Linked DNA regions of Astyanax mexicanus. The main gene of each other region encodes a partner of the protein of the gene in region 2 in a complex. Links are inferred from orthologs where the notes say so. Each region holds a gene or a part of one and is shown on either strand. Other genes may lie near its edges.

Region 1 (4,226 bases), on a different chromosome or scaffold from region 2:
AAGACGCACACAGGCGCTGGGTTTTGAGCTGCACAAGGTGTACTTTTGCCGTTGTTGCGATAGCAAAAACACACTGACACGCCCTAAAGATGAATAAAATTGGGCCTAATGTTTCTTTCTTGACTGTGCTCAGTTTAGTTATGTTCAAACACATGAAATGGAGTAAGTTTACAAGGGTTATTCTTTACTGCTATAAGTCTTCTAGATAGAAGGTGCTATCTGTGCTACTGTGTTGATGTCATTTAGATCAACATAAGTAGAAATAGAATAGAATATAATAATAAGCACATATTTTAAAGTCATATTTGTTATTCTGACAAAATAACCAAAATTGTTAGTTCTTTTTTTTCCATTTGCTGTGTTGATAAATCAGGACATGGAATTGCACAGTGTCTCTTATTAGGGACATTCCAGGATTTTGGTACATTTCCTGTCCCACCACTTAAATTTCAAATGTACATACCCAAAATTTTTGGTGTAAAATGTACTTGTTATAAGTGTCGCCGTTCCCATTCATTCAATGAAAATGAAGCCAAAATCTTCCGCCATGTTGGCGATCCTGACACCCGATTCTGCGCAGTAGAGACCAGAGGAGGGAGAAAGACTGTGGAGAGACAGCCTGCTCATTTAAATAACCCCGCCCCTGAGGGCTGCCTCGCGGTCACAGGCTGTAGAGCGGAGCAGAGCTGACGGTCTGTTATTGGCCCCGCCCATAGCCAGCCCTTTTACAATAACCACACCTTCTTGAATAGAGCTGAATAACGTTTTAAAAAATGAATTCTGTGGGGATATAAAAATTTGACAATATAAGCAGAGGTTACACTAGCTGCTGCATTTAAATAATGGAGGTAGAATTACATGGGGATGGGTGGTGTTACACAGCTTTCTGAAACCAAACAGCAGGGGCGCTCGACCTGTGGTGGCTTCACTTTTGAGAGACGATGCTCTGTCCAGCTATACACAGTCTATGGGCAAGATCAAGAGTAAGTGCTCTAACAATTTTCAAGCTTTTTTTTTTCCAAATATGTTTGTCCAAGTTGTGTGTGAACGCAACCCTGTTACTCATATTGTAAGACTAATAATGAGTAGAGTCAAATTTTTCTTTATATACTTATATAACCATGTTTGTCCTTGATCTTGTATACATAGCTACATTTTACAGTTAGCATCTGTTCCTGGGGTAAACCACAAGATTTGCAACCCTGTTACTCGCAACCCTGTTACTGTAAGTTACCAAATATATTGCATAATCTCATTTAAAAACTGCTTTGATACCTGAGCTTGACGAATCTAACTTTTTGATAGTGTCACGTCTCTAGGCTCTCCTTTCACACTCCCGAACTCCATTTCCCATGAACCCATTGGTGATGACGTCACTGTCAGCCGCTCACCTTCATCCAATCGCATTACACTCCCCCGTTCAGAGTCACCTGTGTTCTAAGTTGTTCCGGTTCATAGTAATTCTAGGTTTTGTATATATAGGGTTCTGTTAGCTGATGTTCTTTGCGAGGTATTGTCGACTCATGTTGCGTACTGAGCATTTTTCCAAACATTTTTCTGTCTGCCCTTTTGTTATGACCCTTTTTCCTGTATTACAGATTTTGCCTTTTGTCTTTGCCCTTATCGGATTTGTTGTATTATCAGACTGTCTCTCTGGCTTCGGATCTTGGACTGTTCTCACAACTACGTCTCCTGTGAGTTCTGTTCGATCTGTTATCTGGCTGTATCTGGCATCACCCCTATCTGTCTGGTGTTACAGATAGTCTTTTACCTGTATTTAATTTAATAAATATATGACTAAAATTGATCAAATTGAAGATCAATTTTTCAGAAGTGACCACCCCTGAAATGTACCAAAATCCTGGAATGTCCCACTAATAATTATGTGATGATTGCTGTTGTCAAATGTGTTTGTTTATACATTCCTGCGGTAACACTTTATAATACTGTTCCATAGTTAATAGGTAACTAAGCAGGAACTAAGCAGTAACTAGTTAATAGTGCTGCATTAACATCTAAATATTTTCTATTAACTACCAGGGAGTACTGAATAATTACTCAGTAGATAGTACTGAACTAATGATTATAGTAGTTCACTATTAACTCCACAATAATTACTGAGACTTACATATCTCCTGGAGAACTACTTACTAATTATGTCTCCTTTATAATAACTATTCATTAATTACTGCTCAAATCAACATTAACTATAGAAAACTATAGATCTAAATCAGGCATATTTGAGTTAAATGCATATTAATTGAAGGCATATTTGAATTAAGCAAGTGACACCATTTGTAGTAGTGGTAACCTTAATTACCTTATTATCCTCAGTTCCTTCCAAATATTAGCAACATATAGTAAAATACTACTTTGTGTATTACTCTGCTTAACCATCATTTTTGGAAGAAAAAAACAACATTATAACGTGATATTATTGCATAGAAGACATTGATGAAAGTTCTCCAGAAGGCATCTAAGACTCTAAGAATGACTGTAAGACTGTAATAATGTAACAATCATTGCTTTAATACTAGGTTTCAGCCTTATAAAAGTGTATCTTCAGCGTTTGCAGTCTCACAGAGATTTATTTAACTGCGCACTATTAGGGTAATTACGGTAATTTCACAGCAGACGCAGCTCTCCAGGTCCTTCGTGTAACGGTGAATTTACACTGCTCCGACGCGAAAACGCACATGGTCGCACTACCCCCCTCCAACCGGTCGCATGTGGGCGTGACAAAGGCTTTCCCTGCGTCGTCCAATTAAATCGTTTTAATAAATGGGAAATGCATTTTATATAAGATATTATTATTTCCAATACTTAATAAATATAAATGTGTCTTTATAGATATAAATGTTTGAATGAGCTTCATTACACTGTCTAGTGAGCAGTATATAAGCTGAAAAAAGCAAACTTTTCCAATTAAATTACATATTAATATTTTAAAAACCCACCAGAGACTCCAACAATCACAGCAGCCTTTCTCCTCGCTGACAGAGTCCCTGTGAATCAGCAGGGATTTTATAAAGAACAGGGAAGCCTGAAACTTCTCTTCCAGGCTTCTCTGGACGCTTGAAAGCGGAACTAAAATGTTTTCATGCGCTGCGCTGAGGACGCGTTACAGGCCAACACCTGCTCTCTGATTGGATAGACGCATTGCGTTGGACGGACTCATTTGCATAAAGTTCAGCTCGGCTCAACTTTTCATCGCATCGCATCCCCCGCTCTCGACGCGTCGGACCCATGATGCACCGCGCGACTGCGTCTGACGGAGGCGGCGCTTCCCATTGAAAATGAATGGGATCCGTCGCTGTGCGTTGTCGCGTCGGAGCAGTGTAAATTCACCGTAAATTCTCTGCTGTGCTGCTGCTGCTGCTGCTGCTGCTGGAGGAGGATTAAGAGAAACTCTGCTGCTTTCATATTTCTGTATTTGATTGAAAATAAACTAGTAATCAAGATATTGAGATCTTTTCCAGCTGATTTTACCCCCGGATCAGAGGAGGACTCTTTGTGGGTTGTTAACCAGCTTTAGGATATGTGTTAGCTAGCTAAGTTAGCTAAGTTGTGTGTGTAGTTAGCGTTAGCCAGCTAAGTTAGCTAGGTTATGTGTGTGTTAGTTAACTGGCTAAGTTAACTAGGTTATGTGTGTGTTAGTTAACTGGCTAAGTTAACTAGGTTATGTTTGTGTTAGTTAACTGTCTAAGTTAGCTAGGTTATATGTGTGTTAGTTAACTGGCTAAGTTAACTAGGTTATGTGTGTGTTAGTTAACTGGCTAAGTTAACTAGGTTATGTGTGTGTTAGTTAACTGGCTAAGTTAACTAGGTTATGTGTGTGTTAGTTAACTGGTTAAGTTAGCTAGGTTATGTGTGTGTTAGTTAACTGGCTAAGTTAACTAGGTTATGTGTGTGTTAGTTAACTGGTTAAGTTAACTAGGTTATGTGTGTATTAGTTAGCTAGTTTAAATGTGTGTTAGTTAGCTAGGTTATGTGTGTTCGTTTGCTAGCTAAGTTAACTTTTATGTGTGGGTTAGTTAGCTAGGTTATATGTGTGTTAGCAAGTTAAATGCGTGTGTGTTAGTTAGCTAGGTTATATGTGTGTTAGTTAGCTAGGTTATATGTGTGTATTAGTTAGCTAGTTTAAATGTGTGTTAGTTAGCTAGGTTATGTGTGTTCGTTTGCTAGCTAAGTTAACTTTTATGTGTGGGTTAGTTAGCTAGGTTATA
Region 2 (4,226 bases):
CACAATTCCCTCATTTTCCCTCGTTTTTTTATGTAAGAAGAGCTTATTTTGGATATAATCCAATAGAAAAAACAGTTTATTAAGCTGTTGTAGAAGTGGCAGAAAATGTTTTCCCTTTAAAATGTATTTTAAAAGTGGAAAACAATTTACCTATTTTTTTCAACAGTGGCAAATTCAGTTGTAAAAAGTAGAAATCCACGCTTGTATTTTATTTCTGAATCAGAATTTTCCTAAAGCAATACACAGAAAACCCACAATTAGTTTGAACTTAAACAAATTAGGTCTGTTTTATGTAAAATTGGATATTTCAAACATCATTCAACTATTTTAAATTAGGTTTTGTGGGCACATATATGTTTAAATGGAGATTTTGAGACAGAGCTGAATCTTAGAGTTGAAGTTTAGTCTGTTGCCACTGGCAGCTTTTTTTATTGGCTTTTGGCACAATCTATTTGCATACTGGGTTTGTCCCCCAAATTCTGACACTCACCATCAGTGCATAGCGATTCCCCCCAAGCTACCTTAGGTAACTTTGTGTGGGCTGTGTGCTATATTCTTCATCTTATTTTCTACGAGTATTTCAAGTCTGTATTCTATTTAAATGAAATCAAAAATAATACTAAATACAAATCAGTTTTTATTGCCCTAACCATAACATTAAAGTAAAATAATTATTATTCAAAGCAATTGATAAAATATTAATAAAAAAAATTATGTTCCTACAATTTAGGCATAACAACTAAATTCTATATTATAAAAGTGGTCTATTCTAACAAAAAATTAAAACATCTATCTAAATTTCTAGAGCAGTGTAATAACCTATAGAGACCTAGCTTTACATTGTGGTCTTAAACATAGCATATAAATAAATATACAGCTCTGAAAAAATAAGAAACCAATTAAAAATGATGAGTTTCTTTGATTTTACCAAATTGAAAATAATATTTAATATAATCAAAAGGACAAGAGGATAACCAGGGTTATTCCACTTAATGTTGATATCTGAACTCGTATAACTTTATGAATATGAACTTGTTTTCTTTGCATTATTTGAGGTCTGAAAGCTCTGCATGTTTTTCTGTTATTTCAGCCATTTTTCCTTTTCTGCAAATAAATGCTCTAAATGACAATATTTTTTAATTAGGAATTTGCTATATATATATATATATATATATATATATATATATATATATATATATATATATATATAGCTAAATCAGAGAAACTGATTCAGAAACTGAAGTGGTCTCTCATTTTTTCCATGATAATGTATCAACAGTGGCATATCCAAGTCAAAAAGTACACATTTACCACAGTAATTTATTTCTGCATATAAATTACCTTATATAGGCAGTAGATAAACTCTATAGGCTTCAAATAAACAAATATGACATATTCAGGTCAAAAAAAGTAAAAATCCAGCACAGGATTTTATTTCTGAATCTATATTTGAATCTAAATTATCGTAAAGCAGTAGATACGCTGTAGTTACAGGCCTAAGGTGTGTGGCCTCAAATAAACAAATTAGGAAAATTCAGTTCAAAAAGTAAAAGTCCACTCCGGTATTTCGTTTCAGCTGACTGGGCGGACCGGCTGCAGCGGAGACAGTGAGCAGCCCGGGCGGTTGGAAGGAAAACCTGCGGTGGATTTTTACTGTATTGACCTGAATTTGCCATATTTGAACTGTCACCTCTGCAAATAACCAAAAATCAGGGAAACTTTGTGAGACATACGTGACTAAATTAGATTTTTTAAATATATTTTTCAGCAGTAATTAAGTTTCAGCTCAGTAAGGAGCAGACTATTAGCCTGAAGTTGTTATTTTGGGACAGCAGCGCCGTTGCAGTTCCGTTAAATCTGGCAGAGAAAAGTTTCTGAGACTTCGCCATGACAGTTCTGTCTGCAGCAGAAGAGCCTGAAACAGGGCTGCGTTCAGTTACTGCTTGCTGTCAGTCAGCGAGTGAGCTAAATAACTATTTATCCCAGCTAACTATTAGTCTGTATTCTTCTCAAACTTCTCGCCGACGCGCAGCTCAGGTAAGAAGGCTGGGCTAGCAAGCCTAGATACCCGTCTACAGCCAGCCAGCCGCCCGCTCGCAGCTAGCGCTATATTACCTATACACCAGAAGTACCCAGCTTGTTAGCAGCATGCTAGCAGGTTAGCCAGCTAGCCCCGTCTGTACAGTTATCTAAGCTATGCCACAGCGAGCCCTAACAGCCCCCGAGACCTCTCCACAGCCCCAAACCTGACCCCTATTCCAACTAACCAGTATTTATTCACATTTTTAAGGTAAACAGTATAAGACTCGGTTACCTTACAGGCGACACAAATCGATATTTTGGACCTACAGCATTATTTCGCCTTCAAAATATGACTGCCATTAGTGGATCCCCTCCCCCTCTGTGTTTTTTTCGCTGACATCTTCAAGTTAAGCGAAGGCTCGTTTTTGATTGGTCGATACGAGCCGAAATATTACCCGCTTTGCAGCCTGATTGGTCGAGGCGGACGTCAATCAAGCGGTCCTGTATTTTTGTGGCGGGGCTTAGTGATCACTTTCACTATGCTGCGCCGAACGTGCTGGAACCGTGGCGCTACTGGAGTGTGTGTGTGTGTGAGGGTGTGAGGGTGTGTGAGGGTGGGAGTGGGAGTGCTGTTGAACTTGAACTTGACTCATTATAAATGCTAAAATATAAAAAAGTCCTCATACATATACAAAATAATCCTCATATGCGTATTATTTTGTATTTTAGCTTTTATAGTCAAATTCAAGTATATATATATACCACTTAAAAATTATGAATTTCTTTGATTTTACCTAATTGAAAACCTCTGGAATATAATAAAGAGGAAGATGGATGATCACAAGCCATCAAACCAAGCTGAACATAAGCTGTCATAAAGTTTTCCAAAAGCAGTGTGTAAGACTGGTGGAGGAGAACATGCCAAGATGCATGAAAACTGTGATTAAAAGATATCTAGAGTGTGTGTGTGTGGAAATGAGGAAATAGTCCAGTAGGTAACAGAATAACTATGAGTAAGTGCAGGTAAGGAATGAGTTGATTGGGGAGTACAAGGGGCAGAATGCTGTATAATATATATATATATATATATATATATATATATATATATATATATATATATATACGTGTATATATATATATATATATATATATATATACGTATATATATATACGTATATATATATATATATATACGTATATATATATACGTATATATATATATATATATATATATATATATATATATATATATATATATATATATATATACACGTATATATATATACGTATATATATATATATATATATATATATATATATATATATATATATATATATATATATATAGTGTGTAATATAATATATAATATGGGAAGTCTGATAGATGCAGTGTAAAGTTTATGAACATAAACTTGTTTTCTTTGCATCATTTAAGGTCTGAAAGCTCTGCATCTTGTTTGTTATTTCATCCATTTCTCATTTTCTGCAAATAAATGCTGTAAATGACAATATTTTTATTTGGAATTTGGGAGAAATATTGTCCGTAGTTTATAGAATCAAACAACAATGTTCATTTTACTCAAACATATACCTATAAATAGCAAAATCAGAGAAACTGATTCAGAAACTGAAGTGGTCTCGTGAATTTTTTCAGATCTGTATGTCCCACACTAATTAACTAATTAAAGCAAGAGGCCTGAAGTTAAAGTCAGTCAGTGAGCTGACTCTTATAAATGCGCTGAGCTGCAGTAGCGCGTCTCAGCCGCACGGGGGAGACAGAGACCTACACATCTGTACAGCAATACAGCTGCTGCTGCTGTGAACTGATGGCCTGTTTATGTATGTTGTAAGATGCTGATATGGTCAGTTATGGAAATCCAGTTTTTATAATGCTGTTTAAATGTGCAAAATGATATAAATCAAGCACGAATAAGAAAAAGCCAAAATAGCTTAATTTACAAATCTAAATTTGTTGAAAAAAAAAATCAGATGACAACATATAGGACTTTATGAATACAGCAATATTACTCAAGAAAACCAGTAACTAGTGATAATGATATGTTAAAAATAGCCCTAAATATATAAATAAATAAATGAATAGACTTGCTGTTAGTTCAAATACATGCTTAGTGCCTGTTTGCTGATCTGACATATTTTCCCAGTACTCTCATCAAGTGTTTACCAACATATCTTTCCAAAACATA
Region 3 (4,226 bases), on a different chromosome or scaffold from region 2:
CTTTTTTTTTTTTTTTTTACCTCTTTTTTTAAAAAACGAATATTCGAAAATTCGCTTCGAATCAGTGCCGAATATCCGGAGCTCAAAAAACGCTATTCGGGCCAGCCCTAGCTGTTACTGGGAGACACAGTTCACCCATTAAAACCTTTGGCTTCAGGCAGTAGTCATTCAGTGTAGCTGAACAGCAATGCATTAACAGGTTAGCACTTATTTTAGGGGAAAATGATAACTAGAGCAGATGTTTTACCCATCCTCGTGACTTCTGCCAGTGGAATGATCTCTCCTCCAGTCTGCTCGACGATAATGATGGTGAAGCTGGTGTTTTCCCCTTCCTCGCCAATTTCGTCTCCCCATTTCTCGTATTCATATGTAATGAGAGGCACTGAGGTAAGAACAGCTACAAGCTCACACGTCCAGCCCGCTGACCATGAAGAAACATGGATAAGGCACGTCTGAGCATTAGCGAACTTAGTTAGCTACATTGAATAGGATAGATAGGTTAGCTAGTCAGTCAGCTAGCCTGCTAGCACCTAAACGACTACCACGTAGCTAGTGGTAGTACACGTGGCAGCCCATGTTTTTTAGCTTGGTTCCACAGATTCCGCACACTTTAAGCCTCACTTTAACTCTTTAACTCGCTGTTTTATTCCCGAGTGTGACTGTTTTCCACCAAACAACTTCTTCACCCGCTCACATAAACAAACACACACGGGTATTGTACTTCCTGCCTCGGACAGCGGCGTTTCCTCGTGTGGCTCAGCGAACACCCCGCCTACTAAGCGCTTATTGGTTGTTTCACCAAAAATATGTATAATTTAATCACGGGATTGGATATCTGAGATGTCAATCACAGCAGAGGACGGTGTAAAAGGGCCACAGACCGTTGGTAAAAAACAAAAGATTAAGTCGTTTATTTTCCAAAAAAATATGAAATGAGTTGATGGATAAGTTAATATAAGAGATATCATGTATGCACCAAAAAAACATGAAAAAAAAAAAAAAAATATATATATATATATATCTAGAGAGAGAATTTAATATATTCTTAAATTGATTTAATTATTTTTGTTTGTTTTAAAAATATGTAATGAAGTGTCTGCTGATAAGTTCAATCAAATGTTATTTTTTATTAATCTAATTATTTATCTCTTAAGTTGACAGTTTTAAGGTAGTCTGTTCACTTTATTGTAAATTATTTTAGTTTGTTTTAATTAAATCTTTTTTTTTTGTTTGTTTGTGTTTTAATCTATCTTGCATATCAATCACCCACTCAGTCAGCTTTCACACGGAAAAAAAAAATTAGGGAAACCCTCTTTTTAATGCATTTTTAATGCAGGGACTGATAAACAAATCAATAAAAAATATGGCATTTAAAAAAAATAAGATTTAAATAAAAATTATTAAAAATAAAATGATAAGTGAACAGGCTAACTTAAAGCAGTCAAATTAAGGGATACATAATTAGATTAATACAAAATAACATGCTTGACCATATCATGATACATTTTATCACATTTCTGTGAAACAAACAAAAAACATCTAATCAATTTAAGTATATTTTACATTATATTTATACGAACACATATAATATAGCTATATAAATGTATGTGCTTTTGTTACAGTTTTGACATATTTAAGCCACGCCCCTATCTTAAATTATTTTATTGTATTGGGCGTATCTGCTGATTCTTTTTCATAAGGGTCCCAAAGACGTCTGAGATTTTGAATACTGGGCTACAGCGTGGCAGGATGGCGACTCTCACTCGGACGTAAGTAATAAAATACAAAATGTATTTTATCGTTTTTTAAACGTTTGTATTTTAGTTAGGAGCGTATTATCTCCAGTTATTATCGTCCTGCCTGCGGTGGACAACGCCGTTTCCTCGTGTGGCTCAGCGAACGTCCCGCCTACTTAGCGTTAATTGGTTGGTTCACCAAAATATGTATCATTCCATCATACGATTGGTTTTGTGCGATGTCAATCACAGCATTGAACGGGACGAGAGGGACAATAACACGGAGCGCTTTTATATGTTGTAATTTACCTGTCGTGGACAGAGAGTAAAGACTATAGGTTAACTAACTTAATGTTAAATAAATTGATGCGGTAATGAAAACCTTTTTTAAAATAAAAAGGCAAACATGCATGAAAAATATGAACATTCAGCATATATACCGTGCAACATATGCATAAATATATGACTATATACCAGCAGACACTGCACTTCTCTAACTATATTTCTGTAAAAATATCGGGATATCTGATCAAAACGAGCTAAAAGGCGTTAAAAAATAAAGCGTGTATAAAAATATCACGTATCTGGAACGTAAAGATGTATGGGTTTTTGTTAGGGTTTTGACAGCTTCCCTAAGCCACGCCCACGTCTTAAATCCCTTTATTGTATTGGCCAAACTGCTGGACACTGAGGTCCGTATTGGTTGTTTTTTTTTCATAAGGGTCCCAAAGAAGTCTGAGATTTTGAATATTGGGTTACAGTGTGGCAAAATGGCGACTGTCATTCAGAATCCACTAAAAGCGTAAGTAGTAAAATGGATATATACATTTATGTATGTGTTGTGGTTTTGTAAATATGTGTGTGTGTGTGTTTCGGCGGGGGCGTGTGTATCGCAGTTACAGAGCCCGGTTATTGAGCTGCTGCTGAAGGAGCGGGTTTTTATCCCGCAGATTCGGAGCTGATGTTTGATTTGAGGGTCTGTGAGATGTGAGCAGTCTGCGCGCTGCTGCCCAGCACTAGTTTCAGTCTTCGTGTGAGTGTGAGTGTGCTTATGTGCTGCATGGTGATGTGCAGGTCGGTTAGACAGGGGGTTGATTGTAAGTTCCAGGATTTCTTACCTGCGTGTTTCTGCACTTCTTCTTCTTCTTCATTACAGCAGCGCTGTGACTGTAGTTAACTAGTTACTGGTCCTGTCTCACAGCCCGGCCGCCGTTCCTCATCAGCGGGTGTAGAATAAGTGAGATGTAGTAACAGAGGTGACCGGGAGCTCGTTTACTGGTCGCTCTATACAGCTCTGGAAAAAAATAAGATTGCACTTCAGTTTCTGAATCAGTTTCTCTGATTTTGCTATTTATAGATTTATGTTTGAGTAAAATGAACATTGTTGTTTTATTCTATAAACTGCGGACAGCATTTCTCCCAAATTCCAAAAAAAATATTGTCATTTAGAGCATTTATTTGCAAAAAATGAGAAATGGCCGAAACAACAAAAAAGATGCAGAGCTTTCAGATCTTAAATAATGCAAAGGAAACAAGTTCATATTTATAACGTTTTAAGAGTTCAGAAATCAATATTAGCTGGAACAACCCTGGTTTTTAATGACATTTTTATGCATCTTGGCATGTTCTCCTCCACCAGTCTTACACACTGCTTTTGGATAACTTTATGCCACTCCTGATGCAAAAAATCAAGCAGTTCAGCTTGGTTTGATGGCTTGTGATCATCTATCTTTCTCTTGATTATATTCCAGGTTATCAATTTGATAAAATCAAAGAAATTCATCCTTTTTCAGTGGTCCCTTATTTTCTTCCAGGGCTGTGTGTGTACAGTGTTGGTGTTTAAAGTTGTAGGAGGACGTGGGGAATGTTCTCAGGTCTGATATTAGTCCTGCTCTGATCAATGACATTTTTTTACAGGCTGAAAAACAGCCAAAAAGTATTTTTTATAAAGTGTTATATTAGTATAGTGGTATATCTTTATATAGTGTTATATTATTTTGGCTGAGTGAAACCTCAGTGGACTCAAGTGAGATAAACTAGCGTTAACCTGCACACAGTGGGAGTATCATACAAATATATTCATATTTGCAAAAGTTGAAAAGTAATTCAGTAACTGTTAATCACTGAACTGCATGATACTCTATTTAAAACTTGATCAAATAAAATGTGTGTACTAATGTGTGTAATAATTAAGTAATGTTGAAAAAGTAAGCAACTAAGCCATGGGTTAAGTGGCATTAAAAACGTATAGGATTTATATAAATAAATGCACTGAAACTGCATAAACTCTGAATAAAAGACAGGAAAACCCTAAAATAGAACTTAGGGGGAGTTACACATAATTAGAATAACTTTGTTAAATAATACATACCTAACTGCATATTTATATATTGGTATAAATGAAAATGTGTATGTTTCTGCAGTGTGAAGTTAAATACACCACATAGCAGTATCATGATTTCTGTTGTTGTCTGCAGAATGTATCCAGTA

What was found.
Region 1: smarca2 (region 2) and phf10 share a complex: the UniProt entries of both Homo sapiens proteins name them as parts of the neural progenitors-specific chromatin remodeling complex. The link is inferred for Astyanax mexicanus from reciprocal best matches to the Homo sapiens genes SMARCA2 and PHF10.
Region 3: smarca2 (region 2) and dpf3 share a complex: the UniProt entries of both Homo sapiens proteins name them as parts of the BAF complex. The link is inferred for Astyanax mexicanus from reciprocal best matches to the Homo sapiens genes SMARCA2 and DPF3.

Annotation. Positions count from the first base shown.
Region 1 is NC_064414.1:17,701,273-17,705,498, reverse strand, and holds the start of phf10 (PHD finger protein 10), read right to left. Parts: upstream 2,787-4,226; 5' UTR 2,699-2,786; coding exon 2,663-2,698; intron 1-2,662. UniProt on the Homo sapiens protein: Involved in transcription activity regulation by chromatin remodeling. Belongs to the neural progenitors-specific chromatin remodeling complex (npBAF complex) and is required for the proliferation of neural progenitors.
Region 2 is NC_064429.1:18,435,255-18,439,480, forward strand, and holds the start of smarca2 (probable global transcription activator SNF2L2), read right to left. Parts: upstream 2,441-4,226; 5' UTR 2,350-2,440; exon of another isoform or gene 2,315-2,349; intron 1-2,314. UniProt on the Homo sapiens protein: ATPase involved in transcriptional activation and repression of select genes by chromatin remodeling (alteration of DNA-nucleosome topology).
Region 3 is NC_064408.1:78,431,241-78,435,466, forward strand, and holds the start of dpf3 (zinc finger protein DPF3), read left to right. Parts: upstream 1-1,675; 5' UTR 1,676-1,749; coding exon 1,750-1,769; intron 1,770-2,457; coding exon 2,458-2,538; intron 2,539-4,226. Other genes in the region: wdr21 (WD repeat domain 21), read right to left, coding at 248-354. UniProt on the Homo sapiens protein: Belongs to the neuron-specific chromatin remodeling complex (nBAF complex).